4 linked regions of the Yarrowia lipolytica genome follow. The protein of the gene in region 4 interacts with the protein of the main gene of each other region in a pairwise test. Links are inferred from orthologs where the notes say so. Each region holds a gene or a part of one and is shown on either strand. Other genes may lie near its edges.

What was found.
Region 1: the proteins of YALI1_D05070g (region 4) and YALI1_C33406g interact in a two-hybrid assay, tested with the Saccharomyces cerevisiae proteins (2 studies listed by BioGRID, with this or other methods). The link is inferred for Yarrowia lipolytica from reciprocal best matches to the Saccharomyces cerevisiae genes SHO1 and CHS3.
Region 2: the proteins of YALI1_D05070g (region 4) and YALI1_F13446g interact in a two-hybrid assay, tested with the Saccharomyces cerevisiae proteins (2 studies listed by BioGRID). The link is inferred for Yarrowia lipolytica from reciprocal best matches to the Saccharomyces cerevisiae genes SHO1 and UTP7.
Region 3: the proteins of YALI1_D05070g (region 4) and YALI1_D13916g interact in binary tests that used the Saccharomyces cerevisiae proteins (3 or more experiments, as listed by UniProt). The link is inferred for Yarrowia lipolytica from reciprocal best matches to the Saccharomyces cerevisiae genes SHO1 and CYK3.

The regions. Positions count from the first base shown.
Region 1 is NC_090772.1:3,336,403-3,342,361, reverse strand, and holds YALI1_C33406g (uncharacterized protein), read left to right. Parts: upstream 1-1,744; coding exon 1,745-5,425; downstream 5,426-5,959. Other genes in the region: YALI1_C33427g (uncharacterized protein), read left to right, coding at 1-504; YALI1_C33354g (uncharacterized protein), read right to left, coding at 5,508-5,959. UniProt on the Saccharomyces cerevisiae protein: Polymerizes chitin, a structural polymer of the cell wall and septum, by transferring the sugar moiety of UDP-GlcNAc to the non-reducing end of the growing chitin polymer.
Region 2 is NC_090775.1:1,342,526-1,346,244, forward strand, and holds YALI1_F13446g (uncharacterized protein), read right to left. Parts: upstream 2,111-3,719; coding exon 542-2,110; downstream 1-541. Other genes in the region: YALI1_F13452g (uncharacterized protein), read left to right, coding at 2,714-3,719. UniProt on the Saccharomyces cerevisiae protein: Involved in nucleolar processing of pre-18S ribosomal RNA.
Region 3 is NC_090773.1:1,388,005-1,393,439, forward strand, and holds YALI1_D13916g (uncharacterized protein), read right to left. Parts: upstream 3,660-5,435; coding exon 540-3,659; downstream 1-539. Other genes in the region: YALI1_D13871g (uncharacterized protein), read left to right, coding at 1-217. UniProt on the Saccharomyces cerevisiae protein: Involved in cytokinesis by recruiting INN1 to the bud neck. Cooperates with INN1 to stimulate the synthesis of the primary septum (PS) by CHS2.
Region 4 is NC_090773.1:505,674-508,675, forward strand, and holds YALI1_D05070g (uncharacterized protein), read right to left. Parts: upstream 1,409-3,002; coding exon 506-1,408; downstream 1-505. UniProt on the Saccharomyces cerevisiae protein: Plasma membrane osmosensor that activates the high osmolarity glycerol (HOG) MAPK signaling pathway in response to high osmolarity.

The sequences.
Region 1 (5,959 bases), on a different chromosome or scaffold from region 4:
AGAGAGAAACGAAAAACGACACAAGGAGAGCCCAGTGAAAGGACCAGAGTCAAAACGTTTCCAGGATACCGGATACCTCCCGTGGGCCAGCTCCAAGTGGTGGTATCCAACCTGCAAAAGACAGCAGTCAAGCTCTTTCTGATACCCTACAACGTTGCTGAAATGCCCAGCGGCACCCGAACATTTATTCGGCAAAAGGTCTATTCTGCATCGAGCACCCCTGGCTCCAAAGGCACCCTAGTCCATGCTGCACACATTCCTATCGTTCGTCTGGACAATGACAAGCTGTATCTTTGCGGGGACATTCGTCTGGTGTTCCAGAACCGAGTGTTGAACGGTGGTGCAATGAACGACACGACCTTAACTTCTCAGGAGCCTTCCAAGGACAATAACGATTTCACCAAGCACTACCTAGGCCTCGGGAGATCAAAGGACAACATGGTGATTGAGGAGATGATGGGCGGATGGTCCAAGGTGTCTGAGACACCAGCATGTTCACAATGAGCGCCGAACCACTCTATTTATTTGCATTAGCGTACAGAACTCTTGCTGACGCCTTACTCCCTACTGATTTGATATTCTTGTGTACCTTCGAAGGTGCATCCCTTTTGGTCATTGTATTTACGCATCAATCCATACCCCATCCTGACATCTGAATGGCTTTGTAATAGTACATACCTTACATACTGTACAGCTCATACATACCGTCGCTTAGTGATAGATTTGCATCAACAGAAATGTGGCTTAACACGCAACCTTTCGCGGGTATATGGTATTTTTTTTATTCTACAGTAGGGAAATACATTGCAGCTACTGAGGGCTGTGTGCACCCAACAGGGTCATGAAACAGGCGTTTTGGGCATATCCGTTTATGGCAGCAAGATTACTGTAATTAATTATCGTCCTGGTAAAATTGCCTTGTCCACCAATACTGTAGATGACGTCATCAGTGTATATTGAGTGGACGAAATGTTGCCCTAACAATAAATATTATTGGAGAAAAGCGCGATTCGCCTCTGCTTTTATCCTATTTACCCGATCATATTCAAGTATTATTGCTGTCTACCTCATTTGCGCCTTCATCCCCAGACGCTTATTAATGCGTCGGCTTTTTATAGGTTGCTCCCAACAGCGGTGACCATAAAATTGAGACACAGTTGACCTGCACACAAACCAGCCACCGACGCGTGTCGGTAGCGAAGTCAAAGTTAACCCCTTAGCTAAAAAGTCGTCTATTTATAGCCGCCTCACGTGGTGCATTGCAGGGACTATTGTCGATGACGAGTCCGCTGGAGGCGAAAAAGCGACAAAGAACCGAAATCTGTCATTTGTTTCTGCGCCGGAAATACTGTACCTGCTTTATGACTCAAACATTGGTGTACTTTTTTTTTAGCCTCCTGGGGTTTACCCTTCGCCATAATAAGACTACTTTGTAGGTGCCCATACAGCTCAAAATTTTAAGTTTGTATATTTTTGGAACGCAGTCCAAGGAAAAACAGAAACCTTCGAACATCGAAATCCTTACTTTACTACAGTACAGTAGCTGGATATTGCACCTGAGCTTCACAAAGTGAGTACATTTCGACTAAATTGTTCAAGCGCGCGGAGCAATCACAAGAAGTGAGTACGCGGCCCACGACTGGACCTGCGTTACGCGTTCTGTTCCCCACAAGACCACGTTTTTTTTTTCTTTTCTTTCTTTCATTACACCCCCTCCCCTGACGTGTGGTCCAACAGCAAACACATGACTAACACAGTGGATTCGTACAACAAATTCGGATTCAACTCGGAGACGGGTGAGCCCAACACTGGCCCCCAGGACACATCTGGCAGTGTCCCCAGTGAACACAGAGGCGACGGCTCGTTCTCCCCCGACATTGGACGAAAGAAGTCTCTCATTCGACCTGACCGAGCTCGACTCGACCCCGACTCGCGAACTTATCACTACTCGCAGCTGGCCGCCCAGCAGCAAAGCAGAATCAACGTGCTTCCCAGTTCCACCGGAAATGACCCTATTCTCGAGGAGCACTACATGCGCGAGACTGGCGAGATCCAGCCTGGTCAGGGATACGATCAGCCCTACGACAACGCCGTGAACCAGGAGGTGCTAGAGGAGGAAAACGAGGAATCATACAGAGAGGGAGAGGAGGACCCTTACGCCTACTCGGGCCGTCAGGTCTATGGTCTCAATGACGAGGTCCAAACCGAGGCCTACGTGCGAAAGTCGGACGAAATCTCCTCATCAGAAGAACAGGCTGCCGACACCCAACCGCCCATCATCGACCCACCTGTCAACGAAAAGGTTCAGCTCAGCCGTGGAGGAGGAACACTGAAGCGACACAACTCCGTCAAGCGACGAATGGGCACCCAACCCAAGCAGATTTCGCTGTGGATGACCTACTGTCAGATTGTTACCTTCTGGGCCCCCGCTCCTGTGCTCAAGATGTTTGGCATGCCCCAAAAAGCCCGACAGGACGCCTGGCGAGAAAAGATTGGCCTCATCACTGTTATTCTTTACATTGCCGCCTTTGTTGCATACCTGACTTTCGGCTTCACCATCACAGTTTGTTCCAGTTCCATCACCCGAGTGCGAAACGGAGAAGTCAACTCTGGAAACCTCATCATTAATGGTAAGCAATACGACTTTACCTCTATGAACCACCCTCCCACAGTCGAGGTTCCTACTGGCGGTAACTTCATGTACCCTCCTGTTAATGCTGGATCCATGGACGGTTCTTTGCTGTTCCAGAACGTCAACAACCACTGCAAGGGTCTAATCACCCCCAAGCCCGACTGTAAAATTCCCTACAACGGCGACAGCGTTGCCTGGTATATGCCCTGCCAGCTGCTCAACCAGGACGGATCTTCCCAACCCAACACTACTGAGCAGTTCTACCCCGGCTACGCATGCCACACTTCCACCACCGCTCGAAACGTCTACTACCACCAGCTGGTTGATGCCGGTGAGGTCTACTTCACCTGGGACGATATCAAGAACTCTACTCGAAACCTGGCTGTGTTCAACGGAGCTGTCATTGACCTGAACATGGTCAACTTCATTCTTAAGGACGACCTCAACTACCCCGAGATCTTTGACACTCTGCGAGATGACGATTCCATCAAGGGTACTGATATCTCTCGTAATATGGCCAACGGTCCTGATCGACAGGCTGCCCGATGTCTGCAAGAGATTGCCAAGGTTGGATACATTGATACCGAGCAGATTGGATGTCTGGCTTCCCAGGTTGTTCTGTATGTATCTCTGGTTTTCATTATCTCCATTGTCGCCGTCAAGTTCCTATTTGCTATCTACTACAAGTGGGCCATTTCTGCCAAGCAGGGAGCTTTCCCCATTGACAACAAGCAGATGAACCAGCGAGAGAACGAGATTGAGGACTGGTCCGAGAACATTTACAGCCAGGCTCCCATCAAGCGAGTGGACCGAGACCAGCCTAAGTCCAGTGCCACTCCCTTCCGTGGCCTCATCAAGCACCGATTCAACCAGCACGACAATAAGAACAAGCGAATGAGCACAATGGTGACCCAGGTTGGTGAGAGTGGAACTGCTCCTTCCGTCTACTCTCGAAACTCCGCTGCGATCGACTCCAACACTGATGTTGGCGGTGTTGTCTACGATTACGACTCTGGATCTCAGCCCTACGAGGCGCCCACCGTCAACGTTGTGCCCCAGCCCCCCATCGACTACCAACCGTTCAACTACCCTCTCGCCCACACCATGTGTCTGGTGACTGCATACTCCGAGTCGATTGACGGTCTGAGAACCACCCTTGACTCTATCACCACAACCGACTACCCTAACTCCCATAAACTCATTGTTATCATTGCCGATGGTATTATTAAGGGTTCCGGTAACGACATGTCTACCCCTGACATTTGTCTAAGTATGATGTGTGATATGCCTATCCCCGAAGACCAGGTGAGACCCTTCTCTTACGTATCTACTTCTTCTGGTACAAAGCGTCATAACATGGCCAAGGTCTACTCTGGTTTCTACGCCTACGATGATGCCACAGTTCCACCTGAGAAGCAGCAGCGAGTCCCCGTTGTGACTATTGTCAAGTGCGGTACGCCTGCTGAGGCCAACGAGGCCAAGCCTGGTAACCGAGGTAAGCGAGACTCCCAGATCATTCTCATGTCGTTCTTGCAGCGTGTCATGTTCGACGAGCGAATGACCGAGCTGGAGCACGAGATGTTCAACGGTATCTGGCGAGTGACTGGTATTCTTCCCGACTTTTATGAAATCATTCTCATGGTGGATGCCGATACTAAGGTGTTCCCTGACTCTCTGACCCACATGGTGGCTGAGATGGTCAAGGATCCCGAGATTATGGGACTATGTGGAGAAACCAAGATTGCCAACAAGCGAGACTCTTGGGTCACTGCGATCCAGGTGTTTGAATACTACATTTCTCATCACCAGGCTAAGGCCTTTGAGTCCGTCTTTGGTGGTGTCACTTGTCTGCCTGGTTGTTTCTCCATGTACCGAATCAAGGCTCCCAAGGGCGGAGACGGCTACTGGGTGCCCATTCTTGCCAACCCTGATATCGTCGAGCGATACGCTGACAACGTGATTGACACTCTGCATAAGAAGAACCTGTTGCTTCTCGGAGAAGATCGATACCTGACCTCCCTCATGCTCAAGACCTTCCCCACGCGAAAACAGGTGTTTGTGTCCAAGGCTGTCTGCAAGACCATTGTTCCCGACAAGTTTTCTGTTTTGCTGTCTCAGCGAAGACGATGGATTAACTCCACTGTGCATAACCTGATGGAGCTGGTGCTGGTCAAGGATCTATGTGGTGTCTTCTGTATTTCCATGCAGTTTGTTGTCTTCATCGAGCTTGTTGGTACCCTGATTCTTCCCGCCGCCATCTCGTTCACCATCTACGTTGTCATTATTGCCATTGTGAGAAAACCTACGCCTGTCATGTCGCTGGTTCTGCTGGCTCTGATTTTGGGTCTGCCGGGTCTTCTCATTATCATCACAGCATCTCGATGGTCATACGTCGTGTGGATGTTCATCTACCTGCTATCTCTTCCCATTTGGAACTTTGTGCTCCCCGTCTACGCATACTGGAAGTTTGATGATTTCTCCTGGGGTGACACTCGACAGGTTGCTGGTGAAAAGAAGGGCTCTGGAGGCCACGACGAGGAGGATGGTGAATTTGACTCGTCTCAGATTGTCATGAAGCGATGGAGAGACTTTGAAATGGACAAGCGACGCTACGTGCCACTGCCTCCCCAGAACGCGTGGATGAGCGATCCTCACATGCCTTCTTACAACCACCAAGGATTTTCTGCTAACTCTTCCCCTGCTCTTAGACCCCAGGGCTCTTCTCATGTCTACTCGGACTCGGTTGCCGGAGCCAGTGACTACAACGTTGCTCAAGGCCACGAAGTACTTTAAGGCGTCAAGCCAAAAGCATATATATAATCATGATAAAATTACCGTGTTAACGATGTGTAGCTAGAATCTGTATTGCAATAAATTAAAACGAATGCTGACCAGTAGCAATTCGGTGTAGGAGCTGGAGGGATCCTTGGATTCCAGCCTCAAAATGTCTGGTGAGATACGACCGGCTGTCCTTGGGGGAAATGAATATGGCCAGAATGACACTGGTGAGTCCGATACACAGAGAGAAGAAGAAGATACGTCGGATGGAAATGGACGACGACGAGTTTTTCTTAGAAAGCTTGTTCTGTTCCCGCTGCTGGTTGCGCTTGTCAATGAGTTTCTGGCGGGCCAAACGTTCGTTTTCCTCCCGCACTTCGGACTCCTTAATTTGTAACGAGAGGTATGAGCTAATCAGCGAGGGTGCTGTAGCGGAAGAAGACATGCTGTTAGACGACAGAATGGACTCTGACGGAGATTCAGCCTGGGGCGATTGCGCAGCTGTCGTCTTCAATACAGAGTAGTTTGACAGTTTATGCCAGGCCGGAT
Region 2 (3,719 bases), on a different chromosome or scaffold from region 4:
GAACAGCTTGCAATGGAAGGTGCAATAGAACATGGAGTTGAAAACTAGACGACGAGAAAAGCGGGATTGAACGAAGTCCCTTCTATTGTAATGTGTTGCCACTGGTCCATGATATCGACGGCACTTCTCTTCAGCTAGATCCAACGTAAACATGACTACACTGGGCCAACTCATAAACGAGTCAGCAGCAAGACCCTAAGTATCAGCTGCCTGAAAAGGAGTGGCTCGGTGGCTCGTTATCTCATGTTCGATTCATATGAATCTGTTCGCACATACCGGTAAAAGTACAGACAGCATGTAATCAAGAGACTACTTTCGAAACGAGCCAGTCGCTGTTGGTCTTTCACTAGTAAAGAATATCTGAAGAGACGCAGTACAGTATTTACTCGTGTTCCCATGCCTGGGTACAAGAGATGGACCGATAAGCAGTAGCTCTTTTACTACATCTACGCGTACAGATTCACTTGGCCACTCCATCTGTCAGCAGCCGGTCTGCTATTACTTGCCTTGTACTTTTGCTCGTTCAATATGCATAAATTATCTATTGTCTCTGCTGAAATCTGGAGATAGCAGGAGACACGTACTCCTCCACATATCCCTCCTCCAGTCGTCGCTTTTTGTTCTCTCGCATTCGTCGCTCTCGCTCCTGAAGCTGCTCCAGTCGCATCTGCCGCTCGTCCACCACACCCTTCTTTTTCTTCTTTTGCAGCTCCTTGCTGACGGCCGTCTCCTCGTCGGCCAGATGGGGTTGCAGCTCGGGCATGTCGTCGTCCGACTCTTGTGCCCGCTTCTTGTTGGGCTCCGTGATCTCCTCCATCTGCTCTCGGGCCGTCTTTCGTCGCCGGTCCTTGTCCATGGCGATTCGTCCAATGTCTTCGGGATCCATGGTGATCATCTCGGGCTGGAGCTTCTGCAGCAGTGTTCGCACCTCCTCCTCTCGTCGCTGGTGTCGCGTCTGGTAAGGGTTGACTTCCAGAGCGTCAAAGTTGGCCTCTCCGGCTCCGGGAATGATGAGTGAAGAGAAGCCCTCGGAGTGGCCTACTCCAAGGATGTCTTCAAACGGCACAAACTGCGCGCTGCTCACCTTCCAGTCGGGATGCATGTTGTGTTGCATATAGGGCTGCTTGGGTCGAGGAGCAGATTGCACGTCCTTCCACACGGTGATGGTGTTTCCGTGGCCCACAGAAAGCAGGTTGGAGTCAGACCAGTTAACCGTCTGGGGCGCCACCTTGGTTCGGGGCAGACGCAGCACCTCCTTGTAGGTGTTTCTGATATCCCAGACCTTGACGGACGAGTCGGAGCCAGCCGTGGCCAGGTATCGTCCTGATCGGTCGACAGAAACGTCGTTCACGGGGCCTCGATGGGCCAGCATCTTGACCAGAGGCTCGTCCACGTTGGGCGACCACATGGTCACGGTTCCGTTGGAGTGGCCGAGATTCATGATGGCATTATAGGGGTTCTGGCACTGGGAGGTGGTGGGGCCCAGTCTGGTCTTGAAGGCAGCCACTTGCTTACCAATAGATACATCCTGGTAAAAGAGCATGCTGGTGAGACCCGACGATACGAGCAGGTAGTGGTAGGGCAGGAAATCGAGGTTGGTCATTTCGATCTGCTGCTTGAGTCTGTGTACTTCGGATCCCTGGTGGTCATAGATGAAGACATTCCTTTTCTGGGCCACAGCAAAGTATTGGTCGTTATGGAGCCACTGGACCGCACGAACAGTCTCGTTGAGGTTGAGTTCAAACTGTAGACGTCCCTCTCGCCAGTCAAACGCTGCCACATGGCCCTTTCGGCCTCCAATGAGCAGCTTTCGGCCTGTTCGGGTGAAGTTGATGTCATAGGGGCCAAAGTCGGGCAGCTTGAGGTCGTAGGCCTTTTTCTTGGTGGAAATATCAACCGACGCCTTGATCTCCTCCTGCGTCACCTTGTGGGTCGCCTCCATTTCGTTTTCGGCCTCTAGAAAGCCCTGTTCCTCCAACAGCAGCATTTCTGTCTTTTTCGCCGCCTCCTTGGCCTCCTGGGTGTGGCTCTCCACCCGCTTGAGATCCTTACGGAGCTCCTTGTTTCGGGCCGTCTTCCAGGCCGGCTTCTTCTTTGGTGCTTCAGACATGGTTGGTTGTCTATTGGCTGCTGTATATGGTGCTGGTCTGCTGGTGCTTGGTGATAATTCTGTGATGTTGGGGCCTAGGGGAAAAAAATATTTTAAACTTCACCACCTACATATTGCATTGCATGATTATATAATATGGAGTAGTGGCACCGGTGAGACCACAACCGCTTCTCTTCATCCAGAAATGTCGAATATGTTGGATTTTCCGGCAACAAACATAATGTCGCATGCTAACTACAAGTATGCAACTCTGTGTTTGTTTGCTATCCTCGTCGGTTGCATTGAACTCAGCATCGTCACCTACCTGCTCTGATTCTCTTTATGGTTGACCTGTGCGGCTCTCTAATGGCCGGGCTATGATAGAGAAAGGTACTAAGTGTGTATGGGGATGGTTGTCTGGAGGACACGTATGTATATATATTTATATACTTGCAGTGGCCAAACTAATTTTTAGAGCACAGTCGCCACATCCCCTCTGTAACGGCTCCAGCCCCCAGCTAGCTATATATAGGTCGCCATATCCCTGTCTTATCGGGTATCATCAACAGTGCCGAAAACAATGTTGCCTGCATAACTTCAAATTTTTTTTTTCGCCCAAAGTGCATGAAGGCAAAAAAATCGAACAGTGAATTTTCGCACAACACACAACATAGTACCAAACAGAGCACAGCTACCCGACAACTGACGCCGTCAGCAATGAACACAATTGACCAGCTGTTCGAGCAGGACTTTAACGACGACTGGAAGAAGGAATCGTCGCCCCATGGAGACCCCTCCAACAGTCCCGAGCATGGCAAGAGGGCTCTAGAGACGGAGCCGGCATCTCCAGCCAAAAAGGTCAAGCTGGAGAAGGATTCCGAGGACCAGGAAATGGCGCGCATGCTGGAGCGAGATCTTGCGTACAAGTCGGAGCCCGACGACGTGAATCTCGCCACTCCCAACTCTCTGACGCCCGGATCCGAATGCGATGATAAGGATCTCAAGAAGGAGATCAAACCCATAGAGATCATCGAGATCGAGGACGATGACGAGGAGAATATCCACACGGTCTCTGCAGAGACCAAGAGGGATATCAAAACCGAGATCAGCCCCGAACCCGTAAAGATCGAAGAAATCCATAGCCCCCCCGACTCGGGCTCTCTGCCTGAGTTTCTTGCATCGACTATGGATCTTCCACAACCCCCCTGCTACTCCTACAGCCACATTCCCTCTGTGTCCTCGTCTGCCGCCTCGTCTGTTAGTCCCTCTATGCCTCCCTCCACTCTTGCCTCCGCAACTGAGGAGCCCGAGTCCAAACAGAACATGGACGAGTACCTGGGCAAGATCTTCAACTTGTCTCCCGAAGACGACTTCTTTGCCACCGGAGGGTCAGACAACTCGGTCACAGACTCGTTTGCCTCCGTCAGAGAGCTCAAGCAGCAGCTCATGTCGCAACACACCCTTATGACGACATACACGTCGCTCAAAGACGTGTACCAGCGAGTGTGCAAGTCTCTTAAGGAGCGCAACGCCGAGAACCGTCGGCTGGCCAACCACATGAAGGTGCTGGTGGGAGTTATCGAACAGAACAACAAGAAGATTGCCGAAGTCGAAGACTCCAACAACAAGC
Region 3 (5,435 bases), about 880 kb from region 4:
TGGTGTCGAGACCCAGATTATCGCCCTTACCTACGCGCTCTTGGCTTTTTGCGTGATTTCTCTGGCTCTCCGAGCCCCTTCTCTTAACACTGGAAGCAAGCAGGTTGGTGTCACCCTGGCTCTGTGTATCGTCATTCTGGTGGCCTACAGCTTTCTGCTGGCCAAGTTCCACATCAAGAACGGCGGCTACCCTTACCACCTTCTTAACATCTTCTAGACCCCCAAAACGACACCATAAATATATATTAGACCATCTGAATAGAAATAGAGCAGGTGTGTGAGTGAGGCAACACAATGTAAGCCTGGGCGACTGTAGCTACATAGACCGCAGTGCGGGTACCACATCTATCTTAAACGACAGTGCGTACGATGTTCGCAGGAGGTATGAACTTCTACCACTGTACAAATTAGTACATACCGGTTATGTGTACTTGTCCCTACTTATCGTATACACAACATGGCATTGGCATCTGAGTGGAACCATACATACGACCATGAAACAAACACGTTGTACAATTAATCAATCTATATAAATAATGTTAGCTACAGAGCCATTCAGCAAAGACGCTCCATGCACTGCCACTGTCAGTGAGCACCAGCGCCCGCCAGGGGCCGCTTTCGGTACACTTGACACTGAGCTCCCAGAGCCCGTGGGTGGTGGTGGAGTCGTCTTCCTTGAGCACGAGTTTTGTGATTTTGCCCGAAGGAGGCTGAATGGCGATTTTGGTGCGGGCAAAGCCGGAGCCAGAGTTGATGCCCGAGCTGGGGTGCTGCTTGATGGCAAAGTGGTAGATGTTGCCGACTGTGAGTTTGTAGCACTGGGGTTGGACCACATAGAGATCCTGCAGCTTGCAGTGAGGAGTGGGATGTCTGATGACAAACTCAAACTGCTGAGTGGTTCCACTGTGTGTGATGGGGAAGGCTGCCACGACAGGATGGTGGTTCTTTCTGTGCGATGAGTTCTTGCCCTTGGGACCACAATAGACGTTGACCAGTCCCTGTGCGAAACCAGGAGGAAGAACGGCCTTGACCCGGTAGATTCGCTTGCCAAACTCCCAGTACACCTGGCACAAGGTGGGCACCTTTTGGATGGTTCTGGAGGCTGCGTATTCAAGCATGGCCGAGTGTCCATGGGCAGCAAAAGAGCCCGGTTGCACGTCCGCAAAGATCTCCATGTCTGGAGACACAGTGAAGGTCACTTCTCCGACCTCGAGGTTCTTGAGCCGCATCAGAGTGGTGTCGTAGTTGGTGAGCTTGACCCGCGTGTCCCAGTACTTAGGACACAGCACAGGCAGTGCAAGAGCGGTCATGAGATCCAGAGGGCCGGGCTCAAGATGCTGGTACGTCTCCTTGGTGGGGATGTGCGTGTAGATGGCCTCCGCAGGGGAAGCGAGGAAGTAAAAGTCGTCGCAGGCTCGATCACTGGCTGCAGAGTACTGATATCGCAGCGGGAACGAAGGGTTGGCAAGAGTGCAGTCCATGACTCGCCATTGGTCATCCACAAGCACCGCATTCCAGAAGTGGTTTGGTGTTAGTGTGGATCGCGAGTCAAACACCCCTCCAGGGGCCTTGAGCATACCTGGGATAACCTGGCAGTGCACTCCCAAGGCAGCACACATATGCGACACCAACATGGCCACTTCCTGAGTGGTGGCCTTTCGGCTTTGCATCGTCGCTTGTAAGTCAATGTCATATCTCTCGGCATGGTCTCCAGTCCACTTGAGCTTCTCGGAACAGAACATGAAGACAGCTCGGAGCCGTTCAATCTCATATTGGAACTGTGGCATGACATGTCTGGACATGAGCAGGTGGGGAGTGGACGACGACGCAAGCGAAGACATTTGTGTTCGCACGTAGCGGTCCACGTGACTGAGATCAGTTTCAATCTTCCGTGGCGAGATGAGTTGCGCTGTTTTCTTGAGCGGCTCAATGCATCTGATACCCTCCAGAGCCAGTTTCTTCTGCCGCTCCTTACGTTCCACAGCGGTAACGGTGTTGGCCCTGTGGACATTCTGGCGAATCTCAATCCACTGTTTGGGATCCACAGCCGACTGCTTGACATTGCTGGTCTTGCTTGGTTCGCTCATGAGAGCTGCGGAGCTGAAGTTGCTGGAGGAGAAGGAGATTGCCGACAGAGACTTGATGGACCGGAGCGAGCGACTGGACTTGTTGGACTTGATGGAAGCGGTTCGTTTGGGCGAAGCTCGTGAAGACGGCGAAGACTCCACAAATGCTGTCTTGTACATGTTTGGAGTCGAGCCTGAAGAAGGAACTGTGTTGGTCACCTTCTTAATGAACTTCTTGAGGAAGCCCGTGGACTTTCGCATCTTGAGCGACTTCTCGGGACCCAACTGGTTGGGCAGAGCCACGGGCACCTCCGTGGCATCGTAGTCAGCGGAATCTGTCTTCATAGTGGACTCAATGTCAGCCATGTACTTTGTGGTCACTTCGTGGAGACCCTGGCGCATGTGGAAGTCAGCAGCAGAAGTGGCACTGAAATCAGACACAGTGGTCGGCAAAGAACAGCCCGAAACCCCAGACATTTTTGTCATCTCCGAGGAGTACGAGTTGACAGTGTCTGCTCGATGGACTCCAGCAGAACCCCCACTGTACGAGTCAGGCGAAAATGGAAGCTTGCCATAAGAGTCGGGAGAAAATGGAACATCTTCTTCGTCGTCTGAAGAAGCCGCACTCTCATTGTCGCCCATATGAAAAGTCTTCTGGCCTGCACTTTGGATCCAAGAGGACCGTTTCTCGTGGTACGACAACTGTCTCCTTGCCTCAGGTCGGTACGCCATTGGCGTATGGACAGCCCCGTATGGTCTGTCTTTGGTAGGTGTGAAATCTCTGTAGTCTTGTTGTGCTCTAGCACCTTGTTTCATACCATCTAGACTCAGCAGAACGTCGTCCATGGCGTTTCTGAGCGGCGATGGCGTCCGGTCGAGACCATTGTGTCGTGGAGTAATGTCTCTGTCAAACTTGTGGTTGACCAGATCCCCAGAGTAGTCTCCGGAAAAGTCGCCAGAAAAGTTACCATCATCCGAGTTGGTTCTTTTGTGGTTAGACAGAGATGAGTATTTGTCGTAGGTGGCATTGTGTGAGTTTGTAGACTGATTGCCGCTGCGTGTGTTGGAGGTTTGCTTCACTCCATGAGGAGGAACAGGAGGGTACAGTGGATCATGTCCCAGATCAATACTCTGAAGATGCATACTTAGCTTAGCAAGTGGGTCAAAAGACTGTGGCGAAGATTGAGCGGGATCCAAAGACTTGTAACCGCCATTGACGGGCTTAGCAATGTCCAGAGCAGACACTTCAGTCGAGGGAGACCTCGTCAGCTCCAGAGACACCTGAGAAGCGTCAGCTGAGCTGTATCCTCCGTTGTAGCTGTCGTCTCCGTCACACAGAGTGTACCGTTTCTGAGGCGGCTGGTGGGGTCGTCGGCCGCCCTTGGGCTCGTCCAGAACCACAAAGTTGCGAGGGAACACTCCAGTGACGTTGTTTCGTCGTAGTTTGCCAGTCCACCAGTTTCCGTCTCCCGTGTTGAGGACGTCAATGATGTCTCCTTCAATGAAGCCCAGGTCGTTGTCTTCCTCGCCCGACCACGAGTAGATGGCCTTGACCTGGCAGGGCAGGTACGGAACCGTGAAGGTGTCGGTCATGATGTGTAATGGTGTGTAAGCTGGTTGAAGAGGTTCAATCTGATCTTTCCAAAGTATCGTACTTGTAGAGACCGGGTCGGATCAGATGAGTCGTGCGGCAAGGGTGTAGTGTAAACTTGTAGGAGAACAATTGCAGCAAGGATGATGTGTAGGATCGCAAAACCCAAGGCCGGAGATGTCGTTTGCAGCTGGTCTGCTCTTCTCCTACTGAGCTTTACAGTGGTCCCTCTCCGTAGACCCTATTTAGGCACGGGCCAAACAGTCCAAGGTTTGAGCGAGCATGCCCGATCATGCATATCAAAGTTTATGGAGGAAGACAATGGGGCGCCCATAATACAGTGCAGAAGCCAAAATTGGGAAAAAGCAAGACGGTCACAGAGTGGACTGTAAATTAGCATGGGGCGAGTGCGAGGTGAAATAGGGGTTGAGACCAGTGGATATCCCGATGAGCGGAGTTATCGACCCAATGTTGCTCCTCTCCCGTTCCACCAGTGCACCTGCTGGCCTGCTGGCCTGCTCGCAGCCCACCGCCACCTCCTTACGTGCGTCATGTATCGTCTGACTGCAACCGTACATTCTTCTCACAAAACCATTGATGGACAACCGAGAGGAAGAGCCGCTGTACTGCAATAACGACCCATGCCGGGTCTACCAGGTACAGCAGCATCCGACTGCTCTACCTGGAACAAAACAACTGACTGATCTAGAATGAGACTTGATACCATAAGTAAAACGTGCTATTGCTATGATATCCCGCTAACCGGAATGTTTTCTGTCTATTCGTGGTGATTATGCTACAATTACTGTAGCTTTAGTGCGCTTTCACACACTAATGACCTGGGCTACAGTGGCCTATACTCATGTCTTAACTAGTGCAATAATATTACAGTACAACTGTACGGACCAAGAGTGTCACTCCAGCGAGATTCCACCAGGCTGGTGTCGGCAATATTATTTTGTGATTATTTTTTCCATTGAAACACTCGTCTCTCGGCTCTGCAAGTCCCACCCACACGTGTGGAGGGCACATATACGCGGTTGGTCACGGAATGGAGAGGGCAGGATTTTCATGCGGGCCGTTGATCGCCAGTGAGGTGAGGGGCAGTGAGGAAAGGGTCAAAGGATCGCTGGAATTGGAGATGGAGAATAATGAAGATGATTGCGACTGTCTATGTGTCTCTTGACTTGTTTCCATGAATAATATTCCCGCTAATATCCAACACTGTGCTGTGGAGCCATGGTCTATATTTTTTCAATACCCCACGCGCCCCACCAAACACGAAAAAAGCGCCTGTGGTAACTTGTTCTAAAAATGCACCCTTTGTTAACTTTTCGGAGCTGCTGGTTCTTCCTCCCAACGATAAGCTTTGTGGAACAATTGTATTGAGACAGACAAAGCATGGGGCTGAGACTGTAGAGACTGAAGTGCGAGCATCACTGTGGAACCAGCCGCGCCTTGGATTGGAGCACTTCTGGACATTTGAGAACAGCGTGTCATGTGATGAGAATGTCCTCAGACTTAGTCTATGTCTGGTACGAGTTCTGAACTTCTTCTATTCTGTTCTATACTCGCCCCTTTTCCACGAAATCATGTTCTACAAGGTACACTTGTCAAAGTTACGGGTGCCTTGTGTATGCCTGGAACATGGAGGCACGCGTACAAACCGCAGGAATATATTGGAAGGCAAGTTCTTTTTTCTCATGTGGTTTCACACACAGTGAAATCTGATACACGTTGATAGTTCTGGATGCCTGCCGGACGTGAAGCCCCGGTTC
Region 4 (3,002 bases):
CTCGTGTTGAGGAAGGCTGTGTATACGGTGTGTCCTCTACCACCATAAGATATGGAGAGTTTGGTTTTTGGGTCATTCTTCAATAATGGCTACGAAGAGTTACATATAGATTTAATTCCATAAAATATAATAAAAAGAACATAACTAATGATATATATTCGAATAAGAATATTGTGTATAAAGTGTATGAGAAGTGAACACCCACATCACCTCGTTCTTTTACTGCCCTCATATCATAGCACTTCAGAGCTGTCTGTATCACTTGCCGCGTTTCTGTTTCCTCCTCCGCCTCGTATGTGTAAATATATCTTACTAGTATAAGAACATAAATATGGTAAATAGAATATAACAAGAGCGACTGGATTTACAGTGGCTCGGCTCAGGCGTGGCGTGAGCGGTCGCAGTGAGTGCATCAGATGTACTTTGCTGGATGGTGTATTAACGAGAAATTGTGGTTCACGTTAGGAATGCCTGTAGACAAGGCATAGTCGCACTGCTGCTAAACCTATGCCAACAGCTCAACATAATTACTAGGACAGATACCAATCTCTCCATTGTCCCTCCGGGCTTGCCACCATCTTCCACTGATATCACTGACATCGAGAATCTCGCCCTTGTCGAAACTGATCTCGTTGGCGTCCTCAGGGTTCGCCTGGTACGCGTAAACCGCCCGGGCTCTGTATGGGTACTCTGTGGCCACAAAGAGCGAGTCAGTCGCCTGTTGTGGGGTGGCCGTCTGCTGCTGTTGCTGTTGCGAGAAGGCCGGGCTTGCCTGGTGTGGTTCGGCATTGGACGAGTTTTCAAACCCGCCGAGCTGCAGGCCGTTGTAGTTGGCGACGCCTCCCATTCCAGCTGAGTAGGCGGAGACCGGCCGGCCGGGCACGCCAAGGCTCTGGCGCTGCTGATCATGCAGCGAGAAGGGGTTAGACCGTCGCATGGCAAACTGGTCGTTGTTGTACGAGTGACCCTTATCGGCCGCGAAAGAGTCAACCCACGCATGGATGCCTGCCTCGTGGGTTGTGCCGAAATAGATCATCCACAGAAAGTTGATGATGGAGAGCAGAATGTGGCCTGCGCCGGACGCCGAGCTTGCCGATGTGCCGTTGTACACCACATTGTTGGTGGAGTTGGTCACATACATGGTGGCCAACGCCAGAAACGCCAGCAGCATCTGGCGGTAGGGCTCGACCGAGTCTGTGGCGACCACGAGGAAGACGCACAGGATGACAAAAAATTCGAACGCCAGACCCCACCAGCCAAAGTTTTTGAACTGGTCCGAGGCGCCGATGGAACCGCCCAGGGCGATAATCCAACCAATGATGCCGAGCGAAATGGTGGAGAGCGCAAACGGATCGCCCATCAGCAGCCCCAGCTGGAACTGCGGTCGGTACGAGAATGGCTGTCTCATGGTCGTGCGGTTGTCGTGGTCTGAGGAGGAGCAGGAGCTGCGTGAGTGTCGACTTTCCCAAAACACATTCGACTAAAGGAACGTGACAGGGGCATCTTTTGCATAAACGAAACCTAGTTGGAGACAGACGAGGAGAATGGGGCTCCCCAAAGTGCAGGTTTCTGAAGAGCTGTTGAGAAGCTTGAAACGGAAATCGACCATTTGAGCACTTTAGAACAATCGTACGCCTTTCGAACAGTCAATATCGCTTCTCATCGCCCCTTACACTCCCTCATCTACTCTCCGTCAGGGCCTTCAAAAAACCTTGCTGGCTGCTAGAGCTAAATCGCCCTAACGACTCACCCACACTGCTCTGAAAATGAACTCTATGTGAAACAGCCACGAAACAAGGGGCACAAGGGTTGAAGAGGAGCAGCAGGACCCTTTGAGTGCCAGTGAGAACGTTGGTGAGGGTCCAAGTAAAGGTGAAATCGCGTGCGAAAACCCAGTTTATGTAATAAATTCACTGCTGGCACCAACCAACCACCTCCCTCTACGTATATACTCATACATATGGCACCTATCACTTGTGTTTCAGAATGCACCCTGCTTTCCGGCTATGTCAAGGCTATATTGAGGCCATGTTGACACTATCATTAGACCGTTTTTCTCAGCGGCATCTCCACCTTCCACCACCAAGCGTGCGGAAATGAAGTCCTAGTGTTGTGGAAAATAATAATCTCCGTTTCTATATTTAGTATAATGGAGACCCTGGTTGTACAATAGAAGGCACGCATATTTTACCTGTACGTGTATCGAGTACGAGTATTGTAATACAAGTACAATACTGGCAGTTGTATACGATCCTTGCGCTTTCAGGAGGTTCAGCTGCTGTGACCACCCAGATGTACTGTGGTGAAAGTACGCTAACTACCATTTCTTACTACAAGTAGCCAGTCAGGTTCTGCTCACAGCGTCTCTCCGTTCAAGTGTCTTACATGCCAGGTACCCGACCCATGCCAAACACGCTATCGTTGCCTTTTCGTCCCTAGCGCATTGTTGTCATGTTTGTTTACAATGCGACAGCTTGAAACAGCCATGCTGCTGAAACATACCTGCAGTGGGATCAGATGGAAGGAGAGAGGTGGATATTTTTGAGCCCGTCTTGATGAACGAGGCGGTTAGTACTTGTGGGTGTGTTTTCGGGTGGTCTATTTGTGTCGTCGTCTCTGTGCTGTGTACACATGGTGAGATGCCAGTACATACAACGTACGTAATAAAAGTGCGAGTACCCGTACTGGTGCCAGCTACTACATTTCAAGTAAGACACCTCAAGATTTATCTCATTAATGGGAGAATTATGTAATGAAAATACCACAACATGAATAAATCGGAATCAATTGAATTGAATTGAAAGAAGTACCGGTACTGGTACTTGCGCTGTACATCCCTCAATGGCAAGCTATGGCACTTACAGCACAAGCACTCGTACTTGCTGTTTCTGATAACGCCCCGTATATATTGTATTTTGGCTTGTTACTGTATGTCTATGATCAAGACAAAAAGTGTCCACTATATCACACTCTCTGATAACACACTCATACCACATACCATG